Regions from separate parts of the Mus musculus genome. Here regions 2, 3, 4, 5, 6 and 7 are each reported to be linked to region 1. Evidence: microRNA targets listed by miRTarBase, many of them from high-throughput screens and not tested one by one. Region 1 holds a microRNA gene; each other region holds the end of a gene's coding sequence.
Evidence for each region. Region 1 holds the annotated microRNA mmu-miR-17-5p (CAAAGUGCUUACAGUGCAGGUAG, at 1,563-1,585, shown strand). A microRNA usually pairs through its seed, bases 2 to 8, with sites in the 3' UTR of a target mRNA and lowers its output. Matches are read on the target gene's strand: a 7mer-m8 pairs with bases 2 to 8, a 7mer-A1 pairs with bases 2 to 7 and ends in A, and an 8mer does both.

Region 1 (4,067 bases):
CCTCCGCGCCGCCGCTCGCCGCGCAGCCGCCCAGAAACGGGCGGGGGTTGGGGGGGGGGGGGAGTCTCCGCGTCCGGCGCAGCGCGGCCCGGCTCTGACCTGCCGCCCCCTGGCGGCCGCGCGGGGAACCCACAAGGGCCGCCTGCCCCCTTGTGCGACATGTGCTGCCGGCCCGGGCTCCATGAGCGTGGCGGGTACTTGGCAGGATCCCGTGTTCCCGTCCGGTTTTCTCTTGATAAGCTGGCGCGGAGGGGAGAAAACTGGAGAGCGCAGCAGGGCTCGTGGTTCTTAGGTGACCAGAGGGAAGAAAATGAGCAACGTGCCACGAGGATCACAGCAGTTGGGGAAACAACTCTTTATCCCGGCGTGCAGCCACGAGGTCCTGATTGGGGGAGGGGTGGTGAAGACTAGTCCTGGTTGCCCTTTTTCTCTAGCTTGAGCTGGACAGTAGAGTTCAGGCTTGCTGCTACTCATCTTGCAGTATTTCAGGGGCACATTAATTCGTGCACGGATGTGAATCTTGGTGGGTTTTCAACTTTATTTTGTTACAGCGTTTTCCACCCAATACATTGTTGCCCTCAGGACCTTGTGGTCCTGGCTCTCTCTTTTTTTTTTTTTTTTTTTTTTTTTTTGGCAAATGGATAGAATTGCCCCTTAGGAAGATTAAGAGAAGAGCAACTTGGAATGGGGCTCGGAAAGTGGTAGTAATTTTGAGCAAATGTGCTTACCCTTTCTCTGTCTTCACCCCACCCCCAACCCTAGTCATACACGTGGACCTAGCAGCACCCGAAGCATTGCCCAAGGATACTTGCTGAGAAGGAAGTTTGCCTGAGTGGGTGAGTATATTCTAGTTTTGTAGCTAAAACTTCTTTTGAGACCTTTGGTTTTCACTTTTGTCTTTGAGCTTGTACAACATTCTTGGTCTTTTAAGGTATGAAATAAATACAGTTTGAACTCTTGTCATAAATGAGTGAGCCACATTTTAACGTAGTAAATCTACAGTGGCTTTTGGACACTAACCAAATAGTTGTAGACCCTTCAAGTTGGAGTCATAGAGTATTTCTAATTTGGGGTGATACTAAGACTTTTTTATGTTTTATGACTAATAAACTTGAAAATGACTAAACAATAATCATTAATCTTGTCGAGTATCTGACAATGTGGAGGACAGAAGAAAGGGATTGCTGCCTGGTCAATGTGAGGCTTTCCTCTAAAGGTAGTACCAAGTCAGACTGCCTTCCTGATAACAGGTCTCATTTTGTAGGACCCTTATTGTGTGTTTTTTGGGGAAGCCTACTGTAAAAGCCAACATTTTAATGGGATTGTATCTTATATTTCTTTAAGGAGTTTTTTTTTTTTTTTTAAGGCTTACATGTGTCCAATTTGGAACTTCTGGCTATTGGCTCCTCCCCTCCCCCCCTTGGGTATAAGCTGTAATTGATGTTTGTGACAGAATTTAGAGCTTTGGCTTTTTCCTTTTTGTCTAATTATTTATTTCAAATTTAGCAGGAATAAAGTGAACCTCACCTTGGGACTGAAGCTGTGACCAGTCAGAATAATGTCAAAGTGCTTACAGTGCAGGTAGTGATGTGTGCATCTACTGCAGTGAGGGCACTTGTAGCATTATGCTGACAGCTGCCTCGGTGGGAGCCACAGTGGGCGCTGCCTCGGGCGGCACTGGCTGCGTCCAGTCGTCGGTCAGTCGGTCGCGGGGAGGGCCTGCTGGTGCTGCGTGCTTTTTGTTCTAAGGTGCATCTAGTGCAGATAGTGAAGTAGACTAGCATCTACTGCCCTAAGTGCTCCTTCTGGCATAAGAAGTTATGTCCTCATCCAATCCAAGTCAAGCAAGCATGTAGGGGTCTCTCCATAGTTGTGTTTGCAGCCCTCTGTTAGTTTTGCATAGTTGCACTACAAGAAGAATGTAGTTGTGCAAATCTATGCAAAACTGATGGTGGCCTGCTATTTACTTCAAGTGTTGTTTTTTTTTAAACTAATTTTGTATTTTTATTGTGTCGATGTAGAGCCTGCGTGGTGTGTGTGATGTGACAGCTTCTGTAGCACTAAAGTGCTTATAGTGCAGGTAGTGTGTAGCCATCTACTGCATTACGAGCACTTAAAGTACTGCCAGCTGTAGAACTCCAGCCTCGCCTGGCCATCGCCCAGCCAACTGTCCTGTTATTGAGCACTGGTCTATGGTTAGTTTTGCAGGTTTGCATCCAGCTGTATAATATTCTGCTGTGCAAATCCATGCAAAACTGACTGTGGTGGTGAAAAGTCTGTAGAGAAGTAAGGGAAAATCAAACCCCTTTCTACACAGGTTGGGATTTGTCGCAATGCTGTGTTTCTCTGTATGGTATTGCACTTGTCCCGGCCTGTTGAGTTTGGTGGGGATTGTGACCAGAAGATGTGAAAATGACAATATTGCTGAAGATGCCGATTTCCACTGTAAAAATGTTCACGAGCTGATGGAGTGTATGAACACATTCTGTAAACTGTGATTTCTATTGCTTTCGTTGGTGTGTAAAACGGGATTTTTTTAATTGAAATTTGTGTTTTTAAATTGTGGTTTGTTTTTACTGAATCATTTCATTTTCGTGTTTGCTCGCTGGATTTAGTAAGAAGTTGTGTGTGGGGGCTTAGGTGAAGTTAAACTGCCTTTTGAACCTGGTATGACTTCAGGTTTATTTTACTCTAAAACCCATTAACATGAGTTAAGAAAAATGTTACTTTCTTTGGATCTCTGTTTATTAAAGTGTGACAATTCAGATGGAGTGTTTTCTGATAAGATTATTCCTAATCCGTGAGTTCTTAACAGTTAACAGGTGGTGGCCACTCTGTTAATGTGCACACCCTGTAAGAAAGAACTATCCTTGGACTGTTCTTACCATGTGACCCCCTCAAGGGAAAGATGGCAAACTGATGGTCAGTAGAGTGACAGGTACACATGACACTCGAGTGCTGGGTCTGGAGAAGCTGCAGTTAGTATTTAGGATAACAGTATATATAATATATAGTTCTACATTTGGGCAGCACAGTTGGTTTCAGGCTATGAATAAAAATCATTGGAGTGAAACCTAAAGAAAAGTAAAATTAATAAGGAAGAGCTGCTAAAATCAGGTTTAAGCTGACACTATCTACAGAGCTAAAGTTTTCCATAATATGTTGCTTTTTTTAAAAGAAATGCAAGAAGCTGACTGATGGATCCCTGAGCTGCCAGGTAAGGATTCCACAGGCCTGGGTTTGATTGTGAGTGACCAGAATTGTACAATTATTACTAAAACAGAAACATAGTCACTTCTGACTCCATTCTTAACATTTTTGGATTAAAACTTGTTTCAGATGACTAATGAAAACTTCCTTTAAAACGTGATAAAGCTCTAATGTCAGCACGATCCACATGATCCATGTGCCTCCTATAAAGGGAGGGGTCTGTCACCAGTGTTACGGATTGAATGCTACGTTTATCTTCCAACATAGGAAGCCTGCCAGGTACTTTCTTCAATATACTAAATTAGAAGTTTAAAATTAATAAGGTCTTAATTAGGACCTTTGGATGCTGAGCTTGTGGTAGTAATTGTGTTCAGAATGTTTTGAACTTAAATTGAGATTTAATTTTAGTAAGGAATGTGTGTCTTAGAGGCCTAGTAGTGAAGAGGAGTTTTCCTAGGATTTTCCTCTCTCCTCCCTTAATTAAGCTGCTTTCTGCACTAAGGGCTTCACGCAGCAACGCACTTGTTCAGTTCCGCACAGGGGGCTTTGCTGACTGTCTGCTCTAAAACTCTGTTGGCAAAACAGCTGTGGTCTCTCTTAGACTTTGATTTTGTAGTAACTAGGGCATATAGTTGCTATAAGCTTTCAGGAATGGGGGTGGGTTACTAATGTCTTATGTTATATGAAAGTAGTTAAATTTATCCTATATTAAGAAGGAAGCATTATTGAGACTATATACTGTTGATTTTACTAAAAACTCTAAGATGTCCATTTTAACAGGCAAACCTAGCACAGAAAACCAGCTGGATTTTCCCTGTGCATGGTTTGAAGAGTCAGTCCTACATAATTGCTGACAC
Region 2 (4,067 bases), not on the chromosome of region 1:
GCTCAAAGAGTAGACTGGCAAGTCCCTGCTCTAACACCGGGAATCACTCGGGTCCTTCCAGGTACACTCTGATGAAGAGAAGAGAAAGATTCTGCTTTCTTCCTCCCTCCATCGAGCCTCACTGCTTTCAATCATACTAGTCCAGACATCTTGTTTTGGTCAGTGGTTTCTTAATAATTTCAAAATCAAAACCTGACATACTAGAATGCTAATACACTTCAGTTTCATTTTTAGTTAGGGAAAGATGCTGACATAAAAAAATGACTAAACTACGGGTGGGGAGAGGGGATGAAAGCCGGAAAAAGCCAATGATGTAACTTTTGAAGTCTACACAAACCATGATTGGCTCTATGTAATTAAATATTAATATAATCCAACAGATCTAATGAAAGATACAAAGGAACACGGCTCTGTGTAAGAAAGGAGAAACCGCTAAGTTCTTTGAGGACACAGTCTATCAGAAACCTACAATCCTACAGAGTTTTTCCAAGCTTGACTCTACACCCTGAACATGTATTTTCATTGGAAATTGAAAAGGTGGTCACATATTTAATAATTTTATTAAAAAGTAAAAAAAAATTGTCATACTACAAATAGAAGAAGCGATGGCCTTGTCAGGATGAGCTGACATCACAATAAACCAAAACTTGGGGGGGGGTTTCACCATTGAATAATTATATGTAAAGGAGGCTTATCTGAGCAAATATTGCCCTGGCAATAAGAATTATTAGGCAAAATAATATTTATGTCCTGCCCTAGATTGAAATGATTCTATCTCAAGAACCACTTTAAGGACTTTCACTTTAAAATAACAAACAAACAAAACTCTTGGCACTGACTCATTTATTCAATTGGTATTTATTGCACCTACAGTATTGTCAAGGATTGTTCTCAAACTTGAGATACATCGCTGAACAAATATCCCAATGGCCTAATCTTAAATTCACAGAACTGTGGAACGGAAGGGCCCAGCTTCTCAAGTGTCCACACTAATAGGCCAAAGATTGGTGACTATGATTTACTCAAAGACTCAGAGACCCAGAGGGAGATGGACCTGTGGCAGAGCTCTCTGAGCTGCTTCTGAACTCGAAGGGACAGATGGGGGTGCTATAAGCCCAAAGGAATGAGAATAAAATAACATAAATGTGACCCCAAAAGCTGTTATTCTGGAGCTAAATTAGTCCAATCTAACAAAGCCCTTAAAGTTCACAAAGCAACGTTATTTTTAACACAGTGCTGTGAGACAAGGCTGAGTCATCTTATGCTGGGGAGATCAGAATTTTGCCATAAAGAAAAGTAATAAATCTAAATTTAGGGACATTCACAGTAGAAAGATATATTTTTCTGTAACTTTGATTAGTTTATCTTCTGATGCCTTTGGTTGCTGGCTATTAAGCAAAGGTAATTATAGATGATTTTGATTTCCATTAAAGTGATTTATTTCCCCTTCCTATATAAAGGGAAGACAGTTCAAACTTGTAGGAAGCCTTTTTCTTTCCTGTGGAATCAAGAAGAGCACAGTGAGCCAATCAACACCAACGACTGGTAATAATACACGCAGTCACAGGCGAGAAAGACTGGGCATTCTGGACTCTGTTAGAAATGCTAGAAATGTGTTATCAATATCCTGCCCTGTTGAATCATTGCTTTACAATTCAGTAGCTTTCCAAGAGTGACATGTCAGGTCCAGGATTGTCACCATCAATACCGACAGCGGAATTTCCCGTCATATCCTCATTCAGTGACTCATACTCAGTTATGCTATACAGCAAGCTTCAGCAACACCAAGAGCACACAGACTTAGTTACTGTCGTATTTGCAGCTATGACAGTGAACAAACTGGAAGGCATCAAGCCACGGCACTGAAGAAACAGGAAGTCATTCAGCAGCACGTGTCCCAACTTGAGTCCTGTTGTGAAATCGGCTAAGTAAAGGCATATACACCTCCATCGGAATTGGAGACTTCGAGTAACACGTGCATACCGGTATGGGGAGGAAAGAGAAAAAGAAGGAATGGGGAAAGGAACACTACAGGGGGAGACTAGGGAGAAGAAAAGATAAAGGGGGAAGAAATGTATGGTGACGAATCTGAGATCAATATTAATATTAATAAAGGACAGCTCAGCCTGCTTCCTGAGCACACTTTCCTAAGTTTATTGAAGATACAAAAATGATTTGTGAGACTTTTCATCTCTTGCTATTCTCACTTATTATACTAAAAATGTCTACAAAATCCTAAACCTTGGCCTCTCCAAGGCTAGTTCCCGAAAGGAAAAGGCGTGACCTGTTAGAGAGCTGCACTCTGTCTGGAAGTCTGCCCTGCAGTCAGTCCATAGTCCACAGTATTTTGGTCATATCTGCTCTGTTTTCTCATGCTACTCAACATGTCCTACAACTAATCTTCTTTATTAGAATGTCATAATTTATATTTTTCCCCATTTTTTTAATACTTTGATTTACCTAAAGGGCACGATAAGTGTGAAAGAATAGAAGAATGTTAATAAATTTCAAGGAGAATATGAAAGAAGAAGGGCTTCTCATATCCAAACCCATCCTAGAAATGGTGGTAATGAGACTGAAGAAGACTGCTGACTCATGGATTTCCCCCATTCTCTTTTTATTTTTAGGTAATACATCTAAGGGTATCAATGTACTAAAACGTTTGGTCTGTGAAATAGCATAATCATTAGCACCAAAAAGAGTCATGGAGCTTGTATATATTGTTAAACAATAATTTTTACTGTTGGTCGTGAGAAGAGTTCCCATTTTTATATCCCAAAGGTTTTGAAAGTGCTTGTGGACAAAAGAAATAACACTTTTCAAAATCTCCATGGGGTCCTCAATAAGTACTACAGAGACAGTACTTGGCCTTTCCAGTTTTGGTTTACCTGGTAGTCAAGAAATCCATGGGCACCAGATTACCACTGAAGCCTAAAGAATAGCCCCTCATGCACCCGCTGACACACAGAAGGATTCCTACAGTACACGATCCCCTGCTCTGTGTTCAGGAATGCATTTTTTACTTGCTTTTTTAAAAACAAAAGCAACATGCTCTGCAGATCATGGAGCGCTTAGTGCAATTTTCTCCTTGCTCCAACGCCAGACTGCAAAAGGGTGAAACCATTATGTGTTCTGCTAATGCTGGCCTGCAGTCAAGGCCCTTGGCCTGCATGCTTGGTAAGCTCTGGAGCCTACAGGAGTCAGAAGGTCCAAGAGCGGGAGCCATAGTCATTGCCAGATTCCCTAGCAACGTACGGCCCACCAAGGCAACTACTGATTCCCTTTGATTCTCTTTGCCTCAGCCTTTAGTTGAAATTACAACAAGTCAAATAGCTGATGCTTTTCCCCTCTCCGGGTAAGGGTGACGATACATTGTTCACCAGTGTGTTCTGTCTTGCTTCGCTGATGAGTCGGCATGCTAAGTCAAGGAAGAGTTTCTCCACATTGTCGGATTCCTTGGCTGAAGTCTCCAGGTAATACATGTCCTGAGCCTCTGAGAACTCTTCTGCTCTCTGCTGGGAGACCTCTCGCCTTTCAGCCAGGTCAATCTTGTTGCCTGTAACGAGGGTAAAACAAAGAATCATCACCTGACTGTGTTTCAGCCAGGAAGCATCGCGACTCAATTCCAGACTTGAAGTCCATCAGGAGGTTAAACAGATGAGTGAGCGAGTAAAGCCCAATAAATGTGACCGTGATCGCGGTGTTGTTGATTTTAAAACACCAGTGCCTTGCGTGCATTGAGAATATGAGCACAGGAAGCAGAAAAAAAAGTATAATCCTCAACTGTCTAAATTAAAAAAATAGACAGAAATTCCATTTTTTCTTACATTTTAAGAAAAATAATAAAGCAAGATTGTAGTTTAAAAGACAATGGGCACCCAGAAAGAGAAACGTAGAGAGCACAGGGGCGGAAACCAGCCCTCTCTGATCATATTCTGCTTTACAGATATGACCTTAGAATCTCACTTTACATAATTGAACAAGATAATTATGTACTTAATACAAAATTAAAATTTAAAAGTAACCTGTAAACTTGTTAGTTATATAGTTGCATAAGTACAAAGATT
Region 3 (4,067 bases), not on the chromosome of region 1:
ATGCGCCCCAGGCTGCGTTACAGCCCCTATTCCATCCCCGTCCCAGTGCCGGATAGCAGCAGTTTGCTGGCCACAGCTTTACCATCAATGGCTTCCGCCGCGGGGCCCCTAGACGGCAAAGCGGCCGCCCTGGCAGCCAGCCCAGCCTCGGTGGCTGTGGACTCGGGGTCGGAACTGAACAGCCGCTCGTCCACGCTGTCCTCTGGCTCAGTGTCCTTGTCACCCAAACTCTGCTCCGAGAAGGAGGCGGCTACCAGCGAACTGCAGAGTATCCAGCGGCTGGTCAGTGGCTTGGAAGCCAAGCCAGACAGGTCTTGCAGCGGGTCCCCTTAAAAACAAGAAAAACAAAATCGCCCCCTCCCCCAAGGTCTCTCCATTCCAGTTTGGTCAAATCTGCCAGTGCACTTTGTTAGATGTAAAATAAACCACGGGCCTTCCACATGGGGTGACCCCCGCCCTGTCCCTTTCAGTTTTGTCTGGGAGGGAGCACTAAAGCCTTTCCAGAGACTATGCTAGATACCACAGGCCCTGCCACCATGGGCTGTGTAACCAGGCTGCTGTTGCTTTGAAACGCGGGACTGAGGGGGCGGGAGGAGTGGTGGCAAACAGGCTTTTGTGTCTAGAGCGACTTTTGTGCAGGCTGGTATGGAAGTCGGGGCTGAAGAACAAGGTAGCCAGGCCAGCCAGGAGCGCGGGTCTTTGAGAGACTTCACCGGAATCTTTCCCCCTTCGTGTGTTTAGTGGAAACATCCCCCCTCCTAAACAAACTAACAAAACCAATATGGAGGTGGGGGGAGATGAAGTCCTGTGGAACTGTCTATGAAGACTGAAACTCACCAATTGCTGAGTACTTTCGTTGGGGCAGAGAGAAGAGGGGCCTTACCTTGCCCCATCTATATTAAAGGAATCCTGTCTTTTTTTGTTTGTTTGTTTTTAAATATTGTGATGTTTTAAGAGCCGATGCTGGCTTCTTTTTTGCATGTTACAGTTTTCTGGGTTTATTTTGCCCCCCCCCCCTTTTATGGAAAAACAACGGAAGTCCCATTATCCTCAACCTTGCTCAAGGCGGCAACCAGGAGGAAGTGGGGTAAAAGGGGCAGCTATGGGCATGAAACCAACCGAGTTGATTTTTATCTGAGCGCTTGTAGAGGGCTTCGTGTGCCTGTTGGACCATTAGTTCTTTTAACTGTATATGCAATAACAAGGTTTTAAAAGATAATAATAAAGAGGAAACACGACTATTGGACAAAGTATTTATGTAATTATTTGATATCTCTTGTAAATAGGTGGAATATGACTGCTCAGAAAGTTAAACTTTAATTTATTGAATTGTACATAGCTGGATGTAAATAGGAGCGTGTCTGTCAGGTTTTATTCTTGTTTTGCCTTTTGGGTCTTATTTCCAGGTCAGGAGATGGCTAATCCACACTAGCAAGCCTAGGCATCTTTATTCACATCTCCATGCTTTCAAGTAGAGCTGGCTGCAAAGTTTTTTTTTTTTTTTCTGATGGAGGGGGTGGGATCGGGAGTACTCCTAACTATTTTCACCAAAATTGGGGAGGTAATGGCCCTTCCGGGCTCCACTTGAAATTCCCTAAACTCTTGACACCCCCAGAGGGGTTGAGATTGTTGTGTGAGTAGGGGGGGGGGGGGAACGGCCTTGCGGAGGCCACCATAGAACCGTCCTAATTTTTCATAGACTCTGGCATCTTACTAACCCATGTGAGGTTTTCATTGTTCATCTTTATGGTGTTTTGGATTGGTGTACTGAGAGGGACTTGGTTCAAACGACCATGAAAGGCAAAACAAAACAAAAAATTAAAAAAAAAAACAAAAAACAACAACAAAAAAACAAAAAAAAAACCCAAGAAGGAGTATTTTGTGTTTAGTCTTTGATGAGTTTTCTGTAATTCTCCCCCTCTTTAAAAACATCACTGAAATTTCAATAAATTTTTATTGAAATGAGTTTTGAAGTTGTGGTAATGATTTCTTCAAGAGTTGTCTTTCAGAGCCGGATCGAGGATGATCTTCCAGTCTGCTCCCTTCCTCTCTAAATAATAATTAAGACCACCCCCACCCCTCCCAGCAACCTAAAATGAAATGTCACTCAAGTTAAAAGGCTGAAAACAAGTCCCTTGCTCCGGCGAAGGGAGCCACATTTGATTTGAAAATATTTTCCCTTTAATTTAGGGAGCAGAACGGGAGAAGAAAGGGGCCTGATTAGGTTTCCTAAAGAGGAACTTCATATACTTCAGTTTTAATGGGAGAAGATTTTTACCCTGTGTTCAAAGTCGGCTCCCCCCCCCCCCCAGGAATCCGACCGGAAATAAGAGCTAGGAGGGGTTTTCGCTTTTAATTCGTTTTTCCCTTTTCTGACATGGATCACAAAACAAAATAAATAAGGTCCGCTACACCCACGGAATCTAGCACAGGAAAAGGCCAAGCAGACTCCCTTATCCATGGACATTCAGGGCTGTGGGTAAGGCCCAGGAGTGGGCTCCACAGTGACCATGAGAGAGAGGCAAGGTGCTTTCGGAGTCCACATGGAACACCCAAGGCAAAAGGCACCGGGGAAGCTACCATCTCATTTCCCTAACCAGTCCCGAGTCAGTTAGGCAACCTATCTTTTTGAAGTTCAATTTATCTTTGAATCTTTCAAATATATACATATATCAATCAATCAATTAATCAATCAGTGAAGCCTCTGTCCTGTCCTGTCATTCTTCAGTCTCCCCACCCTCCAGGATCCTCTCGGGGGCGTGTGTGTGTGTGTGTGTGTGTGTGTGTGTGTGTGTGTTGTGTTGGAGAGGGGTTACAAGGGAAGGTACTCTAGAGTTAGCCCTTAGGACTTTCTTGCCCTGGGGGCCTTGACTCAAAGACCCAGCTGGAGCCCGCCAGGCGGCTGACTTGCCCCCAACCCCCATCCCGGAGCCCGCCAGCCGGGCCCAACGTCCCTGTCACCTCTTGAATGGAGAGTCATGAGGGGGGCCCCTCCTCTCCCCTCCTGTGTTTGGAAGAGGATCCAGCTCTAGACCTTGGAGGGGTGGGCAAGCCCCCCTTTTCTAGCCCAGGCACGTGGGGACCCGCACTGCTTCTCCCCAGCTGTCTAGGGAGGAGGAGAAAACAACGGGAGAGAGGGGACTGGAGAGTGCTTAAGGGGACATGGGGACGGGAAAGGCCGGTCCTCTTCGGGACCAAAACTCTTCTTCACAGTCCGCCCTGGGAAGGTGGTAGTTGGCTCATGGCCTCCGGCTGCGCGAGCTCCCAAATTGAGGAGAAAATAGCTCGGCTTAAACTGCGGAGAAAGCAGAAACCAAACCAAATCAAACCAAACTTGCTTGGCTTTCTCAGTCGGATTTTTCTTCCCTCTTTCCTCCTCCATCCCCCAAATTTGGGGACAGTGCCCAAACCTGTCCCCGGCCCCTCCTCAGACTCTCTTCTTTTCTTTCCTCTTTCCTTTTAATCTCCGCTGTATCTTATTTATATATAGTGCTGTTAATGTGTAACTCTTGTGGCGCTGATGGACCAGGGGTGACTCGCTCGCAATCTCTCTGAATTTCTGTACCTATTACTCACCTGGCGCCGGTCGCAATCTCGCCGCGGGCTTTATGGTGGTGGTGGCGGCGGCTGCGGAGGCCACTCGGGGCCGGCGCCTGGGTTGGTTGGTTTTTTTTTTTTTTTTTTTTTTTCCCCTTTCCTTTTTTTTTCTCCTTGGCTTCGAGTGCCACCTGTCTGTCTGACCCACGAATGCGCCCTGCCTAACTGCGGCTGGCTAGGCACCCCAGAGCCTTCTGGATTCTGGAACGTGAGGTCTTCACCTCTGCGCCCCTTTCTGGTCGCACCCCCCCCCCACGACCCCAGTCTGACATACCCTCTCCAAAGCCACCCCGCCCCGCCCCCACCTCACTACTGTCAGAAGAAGAGCCAAGTCTTCCATCTATCCCTATGTGGGCCTCAGACGAGATTTCCAAGGGATTTTTGGAAAGTCAAGGAGGGGGACTGTAGTTCCTTATTCTCTCCGTGTGGAAATATGGAGATACAGGAGGAGGTAACCAGGATGGAGGAGT
Region 4 (4,067 bases), not on the chromosome of region 1:
ATAAGAATGTAAACTATATTTATTTGACAGAAAACTTTGGTTTACTTTAAAAAAAATTTTAACCCATTAACTTGTCTCCTTTCTTGCAGAATGTTTATCTGGCCCAAGCTATCTGCGAATATTTTTCATCATATTCATAGTCACATTCTTGATCGGGTTGCTTAAAGTTCTTATCATTAGACAAGTGATACTACAATGGAATAATAATAAAATAAAGTCCTCATCAGATTATAGAATGTCTGCTTCTAAAAAGGTTGGTGAACTCGGAGGACAATTATATTAATTATATGTGACTGTGCACTTCTAACACTCAGCTCTGTTACTAATCCTAATATTTCTTCTCCATCAAGGATAAACTGATTCTGCAAAGTGTTTGCACGAGAGCTGTAACCTACCGACGAGAAAAGCCTGAGGAAATAAAAATGGATATCAGCAAACTAAATGCTCAGGAGGCCTTCAGGTGCAACTTCTAAATAAGATTAACAAACAAACAAAAACTGTTGGAAGCTGGATGGTTTTACAATTTATTCTAGCAAGTATAATATAAAGTCACAGGAGAAGACAAATTATATTGAAGAGTGTGCCATGAAGACTGGCAAGTGTCTTCACAACCATATGACTCACTCAGCTGCTGAAGTTTTCAGTGAACTATGTGTCTTACTACTGTTGGAGACTAGTGTTGTAGCACTTTATTGTAATATATAACTTATTTAGATCAGCGTAGAATGTAGATCATCTGGGAAAGCACTGATTACACTTTACAGGTACCTGTCAGCCCTGAGCTTCACAGACAAACACGAGGCTATGGAGCAGGTTGCAGGGTGTCACCACCACAGACTGGTGATCCTTCTGTACAACCTGCTGATGAAAAGCATCCAGGAGTAGTTGAAAGCAGTCAACCACACCCGGCAATTGGCATTGTCGAGCTGTGTACAACCAGCTGAGTAAGGGTTAGGCTTTCATTTCAGTTTGGGTGAACAGATGAACTTTAATCTAAGCGGTGTTGCTTTTGAAGCTGTGCAGTTTTGTGCATGCACGGGTCTGTTTTCTTCTCCTTTGAAGCTGCGTGGCTTTGTGCATGTACAAATCTGCTTTCTTCTCTTTTCCAAAATGGATTTTGACTCCAACATCTTCTCCTTTTTGCATTTAAATTCTGTTTTTCTTCCTTTGGAATAAGTTTATAATGTCACAAATGACTGGATTAAATAAGTGCTAAGTTACTACTGCCATAGAACCTATATGACAATGTCACTTTACTAGAATACTGGTTTTAAAGCTGAATGTTAATAAGGGTCACTGTAAGGTGTCTAAGGTCATCTAAGTCCATAGCTTCTTTGTCTGAAGATAGTTTATATATTCTTACCTGTCAAACTGGATGGATTGTTTCACTCTGTCATTGATCTGACCTGTAGCCCGAAATCCAAAAGGTGTCTACAAAACTGCTTCGAGCAGAGTACCCTCTTTTCTGAGTGTGTTCTCTTGATTTTTACTCCAAGATGATGTCAACAGTTTTCAAATGGAAAGCTATATTATTCTTGCCCTCCTGTGTTCCCTAAGGGCATTCCTTGAATCCCAACCCTACTCATAAGAATTCACAAAGGTATAAAATTGGACACATGAGGGTAATATCCTGGAAACAAGCTAATCTCCCCTTTTTGTTAGCCAGGAAATGGAGGCTCAGAAAATTAAAACGATTTTACAAAACACAGACGCGGAGAAAGTGACAATACCAGAGAAGAGCTGCCTTCCAATTACAGGACAGCATTGGACAATAATACTCTACCTCTTGAATCTGTAAAACATCCATGGCAAAATTTAAAATACGATTTATTCAAGTCTTGAATATTTTTCTTGAGAATATTTCAATGCAAAGTAGAAAAGGGTACTGTGCATAAGCAGCTTCTAGTTTTCCCCATTAGCCACCTTCTGATAAGGCTTTGGTGCAGCCCTTCCCTCCACAGTGACTACAAGAACAAGCCTCTTGGAGCTGGCCATGCTTTGATCCAGAGGCTCGTGACTTGGATTCTAAATTCTAACTGTCCTTTGTGTAGCAAGTGTCTTACCTGTGAAAACAGAGGAATCTAAAGAGTGTCTCTCCTCAGTTTGCTGCTCTCCAGCACTTGAAAGTTATTAGATATTAGCATGTCGATGAACACTAGCCTCTATTAGGTATTATACTCTGGGGGCTGGAACGCCTGTAAATTATTCTCTAGTCAGAAAACATGATGTGTCCCTTAGCAGAGCTATGACAATGCTCTTGACTTGAGTGTTTACTCAAGTTGAGATGGGCATTGTCAAAATACTGTGACTGCACCTAAAGAAACTGTGCTCACTAAAGCTGATGTGAAAATCCTACTTTGCTGCTCAGAATAGGGTCCTTTTATAAATATACATATTAATGGATGCTTGGCAGTCCCTCCTCCCAAAGGAAGATATCCATTAATTAAATGCTAGCAACTCAAAAGTGAGCAGTGTTTATGAACAATGATTTCCACATGAAATGAGCAAAAGAGCATAATCAAAGAGAAGCCTTGAAAAAAAATGATTTGTACATTTTTAGGCCCTCACTAGTTTGCACTAATTTTAAGACTGACCAAGGCTGTTGCCATGGGAAAGATGAATTTCCTTGCCAAGAATTCAGTGCTGGATGATAATATGTACTTACATGTGGAATGTCTTGTAGCCTTTCTTTCTCTTCTTTTTGTTAACTTAAAAAGCTAATTTTTAAAAGATTGTAGGGCTTATATTTTACTTGAATAATTGTTCTGTTTAATAGTTTGTGAGAAGAGAATTAATATTTACTAGGTAGAATTAATTAACAGTAAGGGGAAACAGGGTATTCTTAGATTAAATAATTTATGTATTTTAGACTATTTTCAAATGCTATGATCACATGAGTTATTTGAGTTGTTGATAGTAAATGCAATTAATTGAATTTTAAATTGTTAGCAAAATGAATAACGAGTGATAATTTTTTTGGCCTGTCAGCATTTTGTTCCCTGGTGTGTAATTATTCAAAACTGTCCCATATTTCCACTACATAAGCAACTATATACAAGTTATTTCTTCTGAGACATTTTTTTACACTGCAGTAAACATGTATTTATAAACATTTGATACAATTTTTTAGGTATTTTCTACTATTTATTAAGCCATATCCATTCTCTAAGAGACATGTTCAATTTAACTTAGTTTATAAAAATAACAAAAACAAACTAGGTATCTCTGGGGGCAAAGTTTTCAAAATTGACAAATTAAAATTGTGTATATATCAAATGCAAAACCGCCAAAGAATAAAATTCAAATATCTTTTAATATTTACTAAACCTCCATTAAGGATATTCTTTTATATATCAACAAACATCTGTGATACACTGAAATCATTATTCTTGCTAGATTATGAATGTTTTTCTCAGTAGAATTATATTTCTTCTGGCACTTGGTAGACGAGCTTATACTCAATGACTCTTCCTTCCTTCCCGTCTCCTGTTTGTCCCATTCACATTTCTCTAGAAATTGCCCATAAGCTTCAAGCCAATAAGCCTAATTTTGAAAAATAACAGCTTAACAATATAACTAAGTTCTTCATTTCCAAAAAAAATCTCTTATTAATGTCGGCACTCATTTGGACAAATACAGCCCTTCTGAAAACAAAGAATTTTAAATGTTCACAATGTTGTGATTTATGTTTTGTAAAGGTAGCAGCTCATTAGGAGGTTCAATACTGTATTCTCCTTGTTTACTCTTGATACTTAGCTTACAGCTATCCTTATGTCCTTAGGACTGTAAAAACTTCATTTTATGTAATGCAAACGTTTTCAAGGGATAGCACTAATATTCCTTCAAATCCTTTCCTTTTCATCTTCCATAATCCCTGCATGGCAAATTAGTTGTGGATAATTGATTAGACATACCTACTGTGTGTCTTGCTGATTCTAGAAGACATTTTTTTTTCAATTTAGCATCCCCCAAATTGGGACATCTCTTGAAATTGTCATCTGCAGTGTAGTGTTTAAAACTGTGTTGAGATAAATACTACAGTAATTAAATATTCATGGATACAGTTC
Region 5 (4,064 bases), not on the chromosome of region 1:
AAATATCTAATAAAAATTTTTTCTTCATCTGTTTGCCTGGATATATCTCTCTGCACTGTGTATTTGTGTTCACATGTGCATCTCATGCCCCAGGAGGCCAGAACACCTAGAAATAAGTTACAGTTCTAAGCTTCTATGTGGGAGCTAGGAATCGAACCTCAGTCCTCCAGAAGAGCAGACAGTGCTCTTTAACAACTGAGCCATTTCTATAGCCTAGTAAGGGGTTATTTTACTGGAAGGGGTAATTATAAGGCCTTCTCTGACTAATAACATGGCAAGGCTAAAGGCCCTGATGTGGGAGATACTTGGCATGTCTGAGGAACAGCATGGTTAATGTGGCTAGAATCTAGTGAGTTCAAGAAATTTTAATGAGGCCCAAGAGATAATATTGAGTGGAAGATAATATTGGTAAGGAGCTTAGCTCCCACGTGGAGGTAGGATGCCATTGGATCTGAGCAGGAACAGGGACACAACCCGGCCTTCAGAACCACTCAAACTGTGTGAAGAAAACAGATCACAGGGTTCAAGGGTGCTAAACAGAAGAAAATGGCTTTCAGTGGCAACTGCACACAGAACAGGCTTAAACTAGGGTAATATGAAGAGGATGAGGGTGCTCCAGAGGAGGCAACGGAATTTCCTGGCATAGAAGAGAGGCATTGAGGACATTTTAGGCTACATCAGAATAAAGGAGCTTTTGTTAATACTAACTAGTTCATTTTTAAGCCACAAGTCAGATATTTAATAGGTTAAAATATTATTTCATTCTACATGACATGAGATAGTTTGTGATTTTCACCAAATTTTAATTTTGCAAAATTCATTCTTGAGATCAGTTTACAACACTGGCAGTTTTCAATCAGAAAAGATTTTATTACAAGAAACAATGACATCAGGTAAAAATGCAAAAATTGTGCAATTACGGCAAAATGTTTAAAAATATCTACACATTTGCCCCATAGGACTACAGTACTTACTACATACCTGAGCACTGAATATTGAATGCCATCTTAAACTCTTCCCATGGGACTCTGGTTCCTCACAGATCACATCCACTTTTCCTCATGCACCAATGAAATCAACTTGATGTTTACACATCAACTTTGTAGGATAACAAGAAACAAAGACAGACATAAATAATGATTTCTTCAATCCTACAACACAGTTATACCTAGTTCTGTTTTCTTTGTATAGAACTATATAGGAAAAGTGCTGTGTACATTCAAATGCAGAAACATAGTTAAAGTGGGATTGGCATTTGTTAGATCTTTGAATCCTGCTGTAGCCTTTGTGCCTTTTACTTATATTCAGACTATGAGAATGTACCTTGAATTTCTACACATAAACCCACACACATCACTAATCTTAAGTTTCCTAGGACCTTTTCTAAAGTCATTTTAAAAGTGGCAAAATATCCCAGCTATGTAATGTAAACAAATAATTCATACAAAATTCAATATATATTCTACTCCTGTAGCAAATTCTAAACCTTGGCTTTGATACACTATTCTGAAATGATTCCCTCAATAGACACAGTTATGACAAAAGGACCAACTGTTGTACAGACCAACAGAATAAATCTAGTATAGAATTAGCCACAGTGTATTGTTCTCTTACATATCGTACGGTACATGTACATTGCTAACTCAATGTTCTACATCATGTATTCAAGTAATGAATTTTCCTAAATACAGAGATTGTCAAAGTGGCAGGAAATCTTAGATACTCAACAAAGCTTTCAAAAATAAATTACATGGATATCTCTTGTAAAAATTCTCTTCCCTCTCATTAGCAATACAAAACTATAATTCAAAAAATTCACAGAAATAACCCTAAAACAGCATGAAAAAAACCCAAAAAAAACAAAACCATAAGACAACTAGAGAGGTTTAAAAAAATATTGGCTGACAAAGTTTACAAAGAGATTAGGAGAAGCCACGCATCCAGCTGTGGAGGACACATGAACAATCTGTGAATGCTGTCCACTTGAACTGCTTCGAGAACTCTCTCCTTGTAGGGCCTTTGTAATGCAGTCTATAAAGTTTCTGGAAAAGGAGGTATGTGATGCAAGAGGCAATATTTTCCATTTGTTTCACAGTATCTATCACCTTACACGTTGTGCAAGACTTTTTTCTATTCCAATACAAAATCTTGCCAGGTTTCTTCAAGAGAATCAAATTGAGTCTCTTAAAGAAAATGTGTTGACTGAGGACAGGCTCTGCCTTATGTGTAATATTCTTTATCAGTTATAGTAGGCATAGTAATGAGTATGTTATCAACCTAAATACCTGCCTTAGGTGAAAAGGAGTTTATGTTAATATCCCTAACTAACTGTGAGAAACTTATCAGTTCACTATGAACAGCGCCTTAGTACCTAGAGCACAGAAACCTTTGACCTGTTCACTCACTCATCCTTCCTTCTAGATCGCCTTCAGCTACAAGTGTTTCAACATAAAAATATTCATCACTGTTGAGTGCAAAAAAATAGAGAGGTTGTAACCATAATATGAACCTTATAAGCCACTTAATTATTAGACCACTCCAAGACTCTTGTTTCTAGAAAACAGAATTTTATAAGTAGGTGTTAAAACTTCACATTATTAGTTAACTTTCACGATGCCAACAATGACTGGAAAGGTAGAGGATGGAAAGAGAGTTTGGGCAACAAAACAGCCCATGTTAGTGCAAACTTGGAATTGTAAAACTGAATCCAGCTAGACCAATGGCCAACGGCCATATCCTATCACACAAATAGCAGACCTCATGGAATCACAAGGTAAAGTGCCAGGACCATGGAACTAGCATGCTAACCTGAAAGATAAACAGAGACTCGGTAACCATTTAAGTTGATCTAACTACACATGAATGAACTTATACGAGCACCAGTCACCTGCAAATCTGAGCCCTTTCTGGGATTTTAAAAAATGAGACAGTGTTAGCACTTGAAAAAGTTATGGACAGAAAACTGCCACTTTAACCTTGCAGCTTAACTTAAAAGTTACATGGAACAATCGGACTAAAAGTTCGCTCTGAAAACCGAGTTTCCCTTCCGTCTGCTGACAGCACATTTAAATCTCGTACACTTGAAAACAGTACACAAAAATATATATGTAAATAGATATAAATAGTAAGACTGAGGATCTAGGTTAGTGCTTCTCTGTGTTAGAGATCACAGCTAAATAAATGATATTGCCTCATATTGTTACCCGTAGTTAAAAGAAAGTCACGTTAACCAGTTTGGATGTCTCTACCCAGGAATATTCTGCTTTTCAAGAGTGCATAGTTGTCTTGAATTCACCTGGTTTCTCAGCAACTATTTATCACAAAACTCTAGGATGATACTTTTATGCCAGGGGTGGAAAAATGCTGATAACCGCACTTTGTTCCCTTTCCTGACTGAACTGAAAATATCATGAAGGTAAAATCAAATCCCTCTCCACACCACAGTCTTTATGAGCACCCATTTCTGAATACAAGACTCTGTTAGCTTTCTTCAATGGCGACAGCATTTCCTAAGCCAGCTTCCTCAGTATGAGATGCCAGGGGCGTGCTTTGGCCTGCTGCTTATTTAAAGAACTTTCTGAAGACACTGAGGATAGAGTTTAGCCACCGCACACTCAAAATGGCGGCCAAGGTCCCACAGCCGATCTGGGGTCTCATACACTTTCATCCACTGGTCAGCAATGTCATCGTATTGGTAAAGAGAATTTTTCCTGCTGGTTCTGAAGATATGTTCTTCAACAGTCACTTGAGTAGCTCGCACAAATAAATGGAGTTTATTCTGGAAAAGTACTAGCTTCAGGTATGGATTTATAGACTGATCACACGGAAAGTCCTTTTTACGAGTCCACTTATTTAGCTCTATATCATAGGCTTCAACAGTAAACACACGCTGATGATTTCCACAGGTTCCAGCTATGTAGTAGATTGAGTCTTTGTACACAGCTGCTAAGCCCTGGATTCGAGGCACAGTCATGGGGGTTAAAAATCCCCAGTAGTCTTTTTGAGGCTCATAGAAGAGGAAAAATTCCCCTAAAAAAGAAAAGGGAAACAAATATGTAAGTTTT
Region 6 (4,067 bases), not on the chromosome of region 1:
CAGGGTTCCTGGTGTCACCCACCAGCTCCACCCTGGTCCCACAGAAGGAGCATTCATCCTTGCAATATACTTTCTTCCTCAGGCCAGACCCATGGGCCACCCACCCCACCCACTACCCCCAAGACGGACCTGCACCAGGCGAGCAATGGAAGCAAGCAAGAGCTAAGGCTGGAAGGGCGCCGCCTAGTGGACAGCGGGCGCCAGAACATCGACTTCAGCAATGTGGACATCTCCGAGCTCAGCAGCGAGGTTATCAGTAACATGGATACCTTCGATGTCCATGAATTTGACCAGTACTTGCCCCTCAATGGCCACTCAGCCCTGCCCACAGAGCCCAGCCAGGCCACTGCCTCTGGCTCCTATGGAGGCGCTTCCTACTCGCACTCCGGGGCAACCGGCATAGGGGCATCCCCTGTGTGGGCCCACAAGGGAGCTCCCTCGGCTTCAGCTTCGCCCACAGAGGCAGGACCCCTTCGGCCACAGATCAAGACGGAGCAGCTGAGTCCTAGCCACTACAACGACCAGTCACATGGCTCACCTGGCCGTGCTGACTATGGCTCTTACAGTGCCCAGGCCAGCGTCACCACAGCTGCCTCTGCCACGGCTGCCAGCTCCTTCGCCAGCGCACAGTGTGATTACACTGACCTGCAGGCTTCCAACTACTACAGCCCCTACCCTGGCTACCCTCCCAGCCTCTACCAATACCCTTACTTCCATTCATCCCGTCGGCCCTATGCCTCGCCACTGCTCAATGGGCTCTCTATGCCACCCGCACACAGCCCCAGCAGCAACTGGGACCAGCCTGTGTACACCACCCTGACCCGACCCTGAGGCTGCTGCATCCAGGAAGTCTAGCCAGATCTTTGAGTTCTTCCGGAGTGTACTCGGTAGAGGTTGGAGGCAGCCAGCACGGCCTTACTCCGTCAAGTGCCTGCTGAATGTGCAGGAAGCCAGGCTTTGTCATCCTGTGTCCCTTTGCTTCTGGATATCCAAACTTCTGCCAGGGGACAGAGCTCTCTTTTCCCCCTCTTCTTTCTCTGAGGTGACTGGTGGTTTCCAAAACAGGCATTCCGTTGCTCTCCGGTTTGGATAAGTGTACACCAGCTCCCGAGTTTTGCATCTCAGTAGATAAGAAGATAGTTATGCCTAAGGACAAAGGAGAGAATGGGCTTCATGTCCTTATCAGCCTACCCAAGACCTCCCTGGGACCAATGGATGCTGTTCCCACGGTGAAAGCATGAAAGGACATCTGTGGATGCTCGAGGATACATCCAACCCGGGGACTCTCTTGGGACCAATGTGAGATTGAGGGGTTTCTCATTACCACCGTTCTTCCCAGCAAGGCTTGGCTGAGATGAACACTTTCTGTGTCTATTTTTATTTTTTGTTATTTTTTATTTTAAGGCTTAAACATGTTTGTTTTTTTGAAAGGTGTTGAAGACGTATTTATGTTCTGTTGTTATTTTATCTTTAATTAATGAAGTAATTTGTGCAGAGAGTAGAATTTAAGACAAAATTAAAGTGGGGAAGCTTGCTCTGTAAAGGGCAGGAGGGAGGTGGCTCAGAATCCCTAAGCATCTCTTTGCTTGGCCTTCGGATGTCCCTGGAGGCCTCCACCAGGCACAGGAGGAAGTGATCAACCTCTTAGGGTCTAGTTAGAACAAGAAGCCCGGCACCATCATTGGGCCAGGCATTGAAAGGCAGGAGTAGCATCTCTGCCTTCATGGTGCCAAGCGGTAGAAGACGGAATTTCCTGCAAGCTGGGCAGCTGCAGAACCACGATAATCTTGGCTCTTTGGCACCAGGCGCTACTTACCAAGCTGTGAAAGGAGAGCCTCCCCAACTAACCTGCTTAGGTTCCTAGTTAGAGAGTAACATCAGCTTCCCTGCCTGCGTCGCTGTGTCGAGTGTATAAACCGGCTACGTCACGGAAACTTGTGCCTTGAACACTTTGTATATTTGCTCACATTTGAGAAGTTTCGCTTCTTTTTAATTTTTCTACTTTTCCTACCTTTTTTTAGAGGGGAAAAAAAAATCCAGCCTTTTTTTTCTTTCTTCAGCTTATCTCCTTCCGGGGGCCGAGGTGGGAACCACAGCAAACTCATTTTTATGCAGTCTTTTTTTTTTTTTTTTTTTTTTTTTGGTGTTGAATTCAGAAAGACATTTGCTGTCCTTTACTCGCTGTGTTTCGTTCCTTTCTGACCAGGCAATGCTAACTTTTGTACAGATAAATTTGATAAAATTTAAAAAAAAAAATGTTTTCTCTACTTGGAGCATGTTTTGAGTATTACTTCTTATAATTAAGCCTGGGGGTTCTTACAGGAAGGTTCCTGGCAGAGATGGGTGCAACTCTGCTGAGAGCCTGGGTCCAGCTGCCTTAAGCAGGCCACTGGGGGGAGGGGAGCAAGCCAGCCCAGACTCCCCAAGGTGGGAACTTCCTCACCTTAGGGAGGTAGCCAACCCTGTCACAACCACTTGGTCTGAATTTAAACACCATGCCTTTAGCCTTGTCTGGCTTCCTCATTTTGAGGGTTTGCTCCAAAGCAGACAGATACAGGTCCAGACGGGCCATTCCAAGCCGTGCTTTCCTCCCAGCCGAATCGAGGCTGGTATCTGGGTGGCTGGACAGTGTCTCAAATCGATGGGCATTTTCTCTTCTGGGAGCAGGGTCCTGGCTCAGAGCCAGGCTGGGAGCAGAGAAGAACCATCCCAAGAGAGCCTGCTGCTTGGAGCAAAGTTTCTAGGGAGAAAATGGTTGTGAGGAGAGAGAGCAAGTAGGGGGAGGGGTTCTGGCCAAGTCTCCCGGGTGCATGTGGCTAGCAGGGGCTGCCAGAGCTGGCTTCATCTCAGCTATGTAGACTTCAGTCTTGGTCTGGGAGTGGGGTAGCCATGTCTCTCTAGAGCCACAGTGTGTGTGTGTGGGTGGTGTGGTGTGTGTGTGTGTGGTGTGTGTGTGGTGTGTGTGTGTGTGTGTGGTGTGTGTGTGGTGTGTGTGTGTGTGTGTGTGTGTGTGTTTGGTGTGTGTGTGTGTGTGTGTGTGTGTGTGGTGTGTGTGTGTGTGGTGTGTGTGTGTGTGTGTGTGGTGTGTGTGTGTGTGTGTGTGTGTGGTGTGTGTGTGTGTGTGTGTGTGTGTGTGTTAATTTATTACTGCCCCAGTTTAAGAAGCTTGACTCTAGAGCCTGCTAAGACCAGCATTCAGAAAGTCACTTGGGTTTATAAGAGCTCGTAAGGTCTGAGTGTGCCAAGCTTCCAGGTGTAGGGGATTCTGAGGATGGTGCTGTGAGAACCAGGTTCATGGATGGCTGATGTCTTCGAAGGCTACTGTCCATGTAGACCCAAACCCTGCCAGTCCTGCATCCAGCCAAGGGTTGTCTGAATCCATATGGCCCCCAGAGTTCTCTCATTGACACCCCAGACCAAGGAGAACCCCAGGTTCCCGGCTCACTGACAAAGCCGTGAAGCCCTGCTGCTTGGTTAGGATTAGCTTTGGGGCTTGCCAGGTTCCCAAGGGCCGGGTGGCCCTGCCAGTTCTGTTGGAACTTGGCAAGCCTCCTGAGTATTAACTCCTGGGACCCAGGGCCCTTCTGTCTTGCCAGCCAGCCCTGATACTGGGTGTTGCTTCCTGAGAACCTCTTGTATCTGAGCATCATGACGTGGGGCACCAGTGTCCTGGCCTGGCTACCCCAACTTTATTCTTGTAGATTCTCTGTACTTTGTACCTCCCTGCCTGCTTCCACCTCAACTCCTGGGGCTTTCAGAGGCGGAACCTTCCAAGGTCATCCATCTTGGGAGACTCCCGGTGCTGGTGCTGGGACTGGGACAGACAGCTTGGAGAGGAAGGAGTTCTGATGTGCTGGCCCATAAGAAGAGATTGTCTGGTGTCTCCTGAGAACTTCAGTCTAAAAGTAGTTCCCTGGCCAGCTTCGCCCTGAGTCCAAGCTTTAGAGTCCTGTTCTCTCAGAGAGCACCCATCCTGTTAGCCCATCCCAGGGGCAAGTTGGCAGAAAGTCCCTCCTCTTCATTTCTTGACCTAATACAATGTTAGCTCTGACCTCAGTGGAGGTCAG
Region 7 (4,057 bases), not on the chromosome of region 1:
CTGAACTTGACCCTGAAGTTCAGTTTCCTCAGCTAACATGGAAAGCCTCTGTGTGAGGAGTACACCCTGTTTGTGGGTCTGAGGTTTCTGCTTTGACATACATAATTCAAATGTTCCTCACATGAGGAACATGTCTGCCAGTGGAAGTTTAAGTTGGCCTCCCTCATCTCTTCCTTTCTGAGTTGGCTGTGATCCATTTATTGATCCGTTTCATTGTCGGCCACAGTGGTAGGAATGGCACTGGGTGGTTGCTTAGCACTCTGCAAGCATTTCCCCTTTGCTCCCCCTGGAGGAGGGGTTGTGTACAGACCAAGCAGACAACACAGTGCCCACTGTGCAGGCAGGCCATGTGGATGAGCATCTGTAGCTAATTCCGTAGACCTTTTGTGTTCACAACACAACTACAAGTGAAGTTGGGCAAATCCGCAGTATGCTGAGCAGTCAGGCCCCCTGTCGTGCCCCAGCCCTGCCCAGCTTTGCTGTTGCCTGTAGGTACAATCAGCTGCCCTTGATGAGATGTTCCAGCACCGAGAGGGCTGTGTACCGAGATATCACAAAGCCCTGCTATTGCTGGAGGGGTTGCAGCACACTCTCACGGACCAGGCAGACATTGAGAACATTGCCAAATGTGAGTGCCTTTCCGGAGCTTAAGTGGGGGTGGTAGGTGTGGCCTCCCTGTCTCATGCTCTCTCCTCCACAGGCAAGCTGTGCATTGAGAGGAGACTCTCGGCCCTGCTGAGTGGTGTCTATGCCTGACTACCTGCTGCCAACCTGCAGGGTAGGGTCTGAGACCTGGCAGACTGTCCTCAACACTGATCAGATCCGATGGTGCTGAGACTGCTGCCAGCCAACTCCAGCAGGGATGCTCCACAGTGGACCTGTGCAGACTGGTGCAACTCTTGCTTCCTAGACTGCCAGTCTCTGCTGGCAGGTAGACATCAGAGTGCCAGGGGTCCCTTGCCCACTGGGACAGGAGTTTCTGAACATATTCTTCCTAGCTGGCTCCCTGGCAAGCAGGTATGGTGCCGAGAAGTGGCACCTGCCACCTGAAGAGCCCATGGCAGCCCTGTGTCAGGCAAGGGCCTGAGACCGTTGCTGACTCCAAGCCAAAGCAAGCTTTTCCTCACAGTTCACTTGCCCCATTGCTTGTCCAAGAAAAAAGGGTATGGTCTTCTGGCCCCCTGTTCTCTCTAGGAACTTCTCCCTCTGAGACTACTTACCCAGCTTTGTAAGTCACCGGAGCACTTTATGCATACAGAGACTGGAGAACCTAGCCAGCAGTGCAGACTGCTGGGAACCTGCCTCCTGTTCCTGGCTTTCGTCCTCCAAGACGCTGTATAGATGCAGACCACATCTTTGTGTATAAAAAGCCCAGTGTTCACCTCCTCCTGTGTCTGGTCTTTGGAGGAAAGCAACAGGCTTGCCTCCTGAGGGAGAGATAGTCCTCACGTTTAAATGTTCATTAGGGACAGACAGTTCATTGTGTGAAGCACCACCCATGCTTGTTAAAACTCCTCAACTTCCACACTTTACTCCTAAGATGTGTCTCCACCCTCCCAACTCAGTTTTTGTTCATAAAAGGAAACTTCAGATGTTTAAGGATTGAAAGGGCGGAGGCAGGGCAGGCCAGGTATCACACTGGATGTTGTCCTTGTAGGAGACGGTGCCCGCTGTGTGGCTGAGGCTGTAGCATGTGCCAGAGCGAGTGTGCTGCTGGCTATCTCTATTAACTTTCCCTGGAAGGGCGGCAGAAAAGGCAGTGCCCAGGTGCCGTCCTCCCTGTGCAGTGGAGGTGTGGGTGAAGAATAACATATGCAAACATGTCCCCTGTGGAGCTTTCCTGTCAGTCTGGCTCCTGTGCTTGGTGGCCTTCAGGATCTGTGCTGAAGCTCGTCTTCCAGGCTCCAGGGTGGACACATGCTAATACCTTCCCAGCCTCCCTGACCTGCCAGTCCTTTGTCACGGCTCTGTTCATGCATACTTGAAAGTATCTGAGTGTCCACAAGCTGATGTGGGGTTTCAGAGTTATAGGCCACACACACACACACACACACACGTTTTTCTTTGCAATACTTGAAATATTGCCACTGTGCTTGGTTGTACAAGAGTTGTACAAGAAAGCAGATCTCTAAGACCAGTCTCTTCCTTAGTCACCCTATGACCTCCCTTGCATGTAACATGTTGTATTTATTGCTTTGTGGCCAACTGGAACCCAGAGCCACCAGGGAGGCTAGTGCAGGGATTCCTGACCCACCACCTGGTTCCTGAAAGGCTCCTGGGTGGCTGTGTGTGTGTGTGGCTGGCTGTGTGTGGTATGAGCCAAACCTGCTCATGAAAGCAGTGCTCAGGCCTGTCAATTTTAAGATGAATTTTGTGAGTCTCCCCCTTTTGTGTTTCACTGTGTCATATCAGTTTAAGAAAATAAAAATTGGAATTATTTATGTGGTGTCAATTTCATCCTGGGGTGCCACTGTCCCTCCAGGAGCCGGGTGTGCCTTCAGGTCTGTCTGGGCAGGTTGCCTGTGTCCCCCAGCCAGATTGAGTCCAGTAGTACTTCACGGTGCCGGTGGTGTGGTGGCTTGCTCAGCACCGGAAGCAAGCCTCAGTTTGATCCAGGGATAGCTGGGTGGGTTCATTGTATCACCCAGGAAACAACAGTTCCCACTGGGTCAGGTGAGGATCCAGAGAGGGTGGGGCAATTCTCCAGGCCCCCTAGAGTGGAGCATCATTGATAATGAACCTTCCCCATTTTGAGAGACAGGGTCTTTGATTCCTAGGCTCAGATGATCTTCTGTTCTCTGCCTCAGACTTCATAGCAGGGACTGTCGGGCACCCCATTGCACCTGGCTTCACTTGTCATTTTATTCTAAACTTTAGCAAGTATGCTCTGAGGTGCAGTTTCCCAGCACTAATCTTCTATAAACCATTGGCCACTCTGTATGCTTTATTTGTTCCAATCCTCTGTGCTCTCCAGCCCCTTAAGTCAGGCTCTCTATAGTCTAGGCAGGCTGCAAACATGCTATGTTCAACAACCAATCCTGCTTTTAGGTGTTGGAATCACAGATGTATATCACTGTGCCTGGTTTTACTTTGCCTATGCTACACACATTTGGGTTTTTTGTTTTTCTCAGAAAACTTCCTTGATCTGCCTGTGGTTCCCTTTGCTTGCTCTGGCATTGGTATCCCAAGCAAACATCTAGATGTAATGCTTTCATCTTACATCTGTATTATCTTCGCAGGATAAAAATTATTAGGTATAGTAATACCTATATATCATAGTAAACTAATCCAAGATATCACATGTTCATGGAGTCCATGTTTTATTTTTATGCCCTGTTGAGACATTGTTTCAGGTGTCAGTGGTTAAAAGGTTTTATTTATTTTATATATAGTAAATACACTGTAACTGTCTTCGGACACACCCACCGCACGAGGACTTCAGATCCCATTACAGACGCTTGTAAGCCACCGTGTGGTTGCTGAGAATTGAATTCATGCATGACCCTTGGGAGAGCAGTCAGAGCCTGCCAGATAGTTTAACTCACTAGCTGTGGTTGGCTTTGAACTCCCAATCCTGCCACACCCTGCCCAGTGCATGGAATGCAGGCATGGTGTTACCACGCCTGGAGCAGTTTTAGGTTTATAGAGAGACATGGGGAGGTCCTGTTTTTCCTTCTTGCAGCTGATAATTCTTGTTAGCATCTTTGGGTTTGGTGCTACAGTAGACCAAGAGCCTCACGTGCTATGCGAGTGTTTCACTATTGTGCTATATCTGTAGACCCTTAACTATTTTGTATGTGTGTGTGTCTGTGCACTTAGGTGCAGGCACTGGAGAAAGTCAGGAGAGGCTGTTGCATCCCTCTGTGCTGAAGTTAAGAGATTTTTATGATCTGATGTGTGCGCTGAGGTCTGAACTCTGGTCCCTGTGATGAGGCATTTCGCTGTCCCTTTCTATGAGACAGAATCTGGTGAAATTTATGCTGGCTTTGAACTTTTGATTGTTCTGCCACAGCCTCCCCATTACTAACCTGACACCCGCGCCACCACACCCAGACAA

Region 2: the mRNA of Rab30 is a reported target of mmu-miR-17-5p. Seed matches in the 3' UTR shown: 7mer-m8 at 2,788-2,794.
Region 3: the mRNA of Tbx3 is a reported target of mmu-miR-17-5p. Seed matches in the 3' UTR shown: 7mer-m8 at 402-408.
Region 4: miRTarBase lists Itgb8 as a target of mmu-miR-17-5p. Seed matches in the 3' UTR shown: 8mer at 685-692 and 7mer-A1 at 755-761.
Region 5: miRTarBase lists Kbtbd8 as a target of mmu-miR-17-5p. Seed matches in the 3' UTR shown: 8mer at 2,775-2,782, 7mer-A1 at 1,239-1,245 and 7mer-m8 at 1,204-1,210.
Region 6: miRTarBase lists Sox8 as a target of mmu-miR-17-5p. The part of its 3' UTR that is shown has no 7-base or 8-base seed match.
Region 7: the mRNA of Ulk1 is a reported target of mmu-miR-17-5p. Seed matches in the 3' UTR shown: 8mer at 1,242-1,249 and 7mer-A1 at 1,526-1,532.

Annotation. Positions count from the first base shown.
Region 1 is chr14:115,042,122-115,046,188 of GRCm38, forward strand. It overlaps Mir17 (microRNA 17), which reads left to right and starts at 1,550; the gene lies at 1,550-1,633. It overlaps Mir18 (microRNA 18), which reads left to right and starts at 1,730; the gene lies at 1,730-1,825. Mir19a (microRNA 19a) reads left to right here and starts at 1,879; the gene lies at 1,879-1,960. Mir20a (microRNA 20a) reads left to right here and starts at 2,036; the gene lies at 2,036-2,142. It also overlaps Mir19b-1, Mir17hg and Mir92-1.
Region 2 is chr7:92,835,178-92,839,244 of GRCm38, reverse strand. It overlaps Rab30 (RAB30, member RAS oncogene family), which reads right to left. Exons shown (of 5, transcript NM_029494.2): 5 at 2,128-3,556. The coding sequence ends at 3,306. Among named protein-coding and RNA genes, the nearest start is that of Ddias, 37 kb to the left of the region's middle.
Region 3 is chr5:119,682,760-119,686,826 of GRCm38, forward strand. It overlaps Tbx3 (T-box 3), which reads left to right. Exons shown (of 8, transcript NM_011535.3): 8 at 1-1,965. The coding sequence ends at 333. Tbx3os2 (T-box 3, opposite strand 2) reads right to left here. Exons shown (of 3, transcript NR_040416.1): 3 at 2,329-3,295. Among named protein-coding and RNA genes, the nearest start is that of Tbx3os2, 6.4 kb to the right of the region's middle.
Region 4 is chr12:119,159,523-119,163,589 of GRCm38, reverse strand. Itgb8 (integrin beta 8) reads left to right here. Exons shown (of 14, transcript NM_177290.3): 13 at 90-253; 14 at 351-787. The coding sequence ends at 473. Among named protein-coding and RNA genes, the nearest start is that of Itgb8, 77 kb to the left of the region's middle.
Region 5 is chr6:95,126,442-95,130,505 of GRCm38, reverse strand. Kbtbd8 (kelch repeat and BTB (POZ) domain containing 8) reads right to left here. Exons shown (of 4, transcript NM_001008785.5): 4 at 713-4,029. The coding sequence ends at 3,566. Among named protein-coding and RNA genes, the nearest start is that of Kbtbd8, 11 kb to the right of the region's middle.
Region 6 is chr17:25,564,097-25,568,163 of GRCm38, reverse strand. Sox8 (SRY (sex determining region Y)-box 8) reads left to right here. Exons shown (of 3, transcript NM_011447.3): 3 at 83-2,271. The coding sequence ends at 831. Among named protein-coding and RNA genes, the nearest start is that of Sox8, 4.6 kb to the left of the region's middle.
Region 7 is chr5:110,782,871-110,786,927 of GRCm38, reverse strand. It overlaps Ulk1 (unc-51 like kinase 1), which reads left to right. Exons shown (of 28, transcript NM_009469.3): 27 at 493-628; 28 at 701-2,439. The coding sequence ends at 756. Among named protein-coding and RNA genes, the nearest start is that of Pus1, 4.3 kb to the right of the region's middle.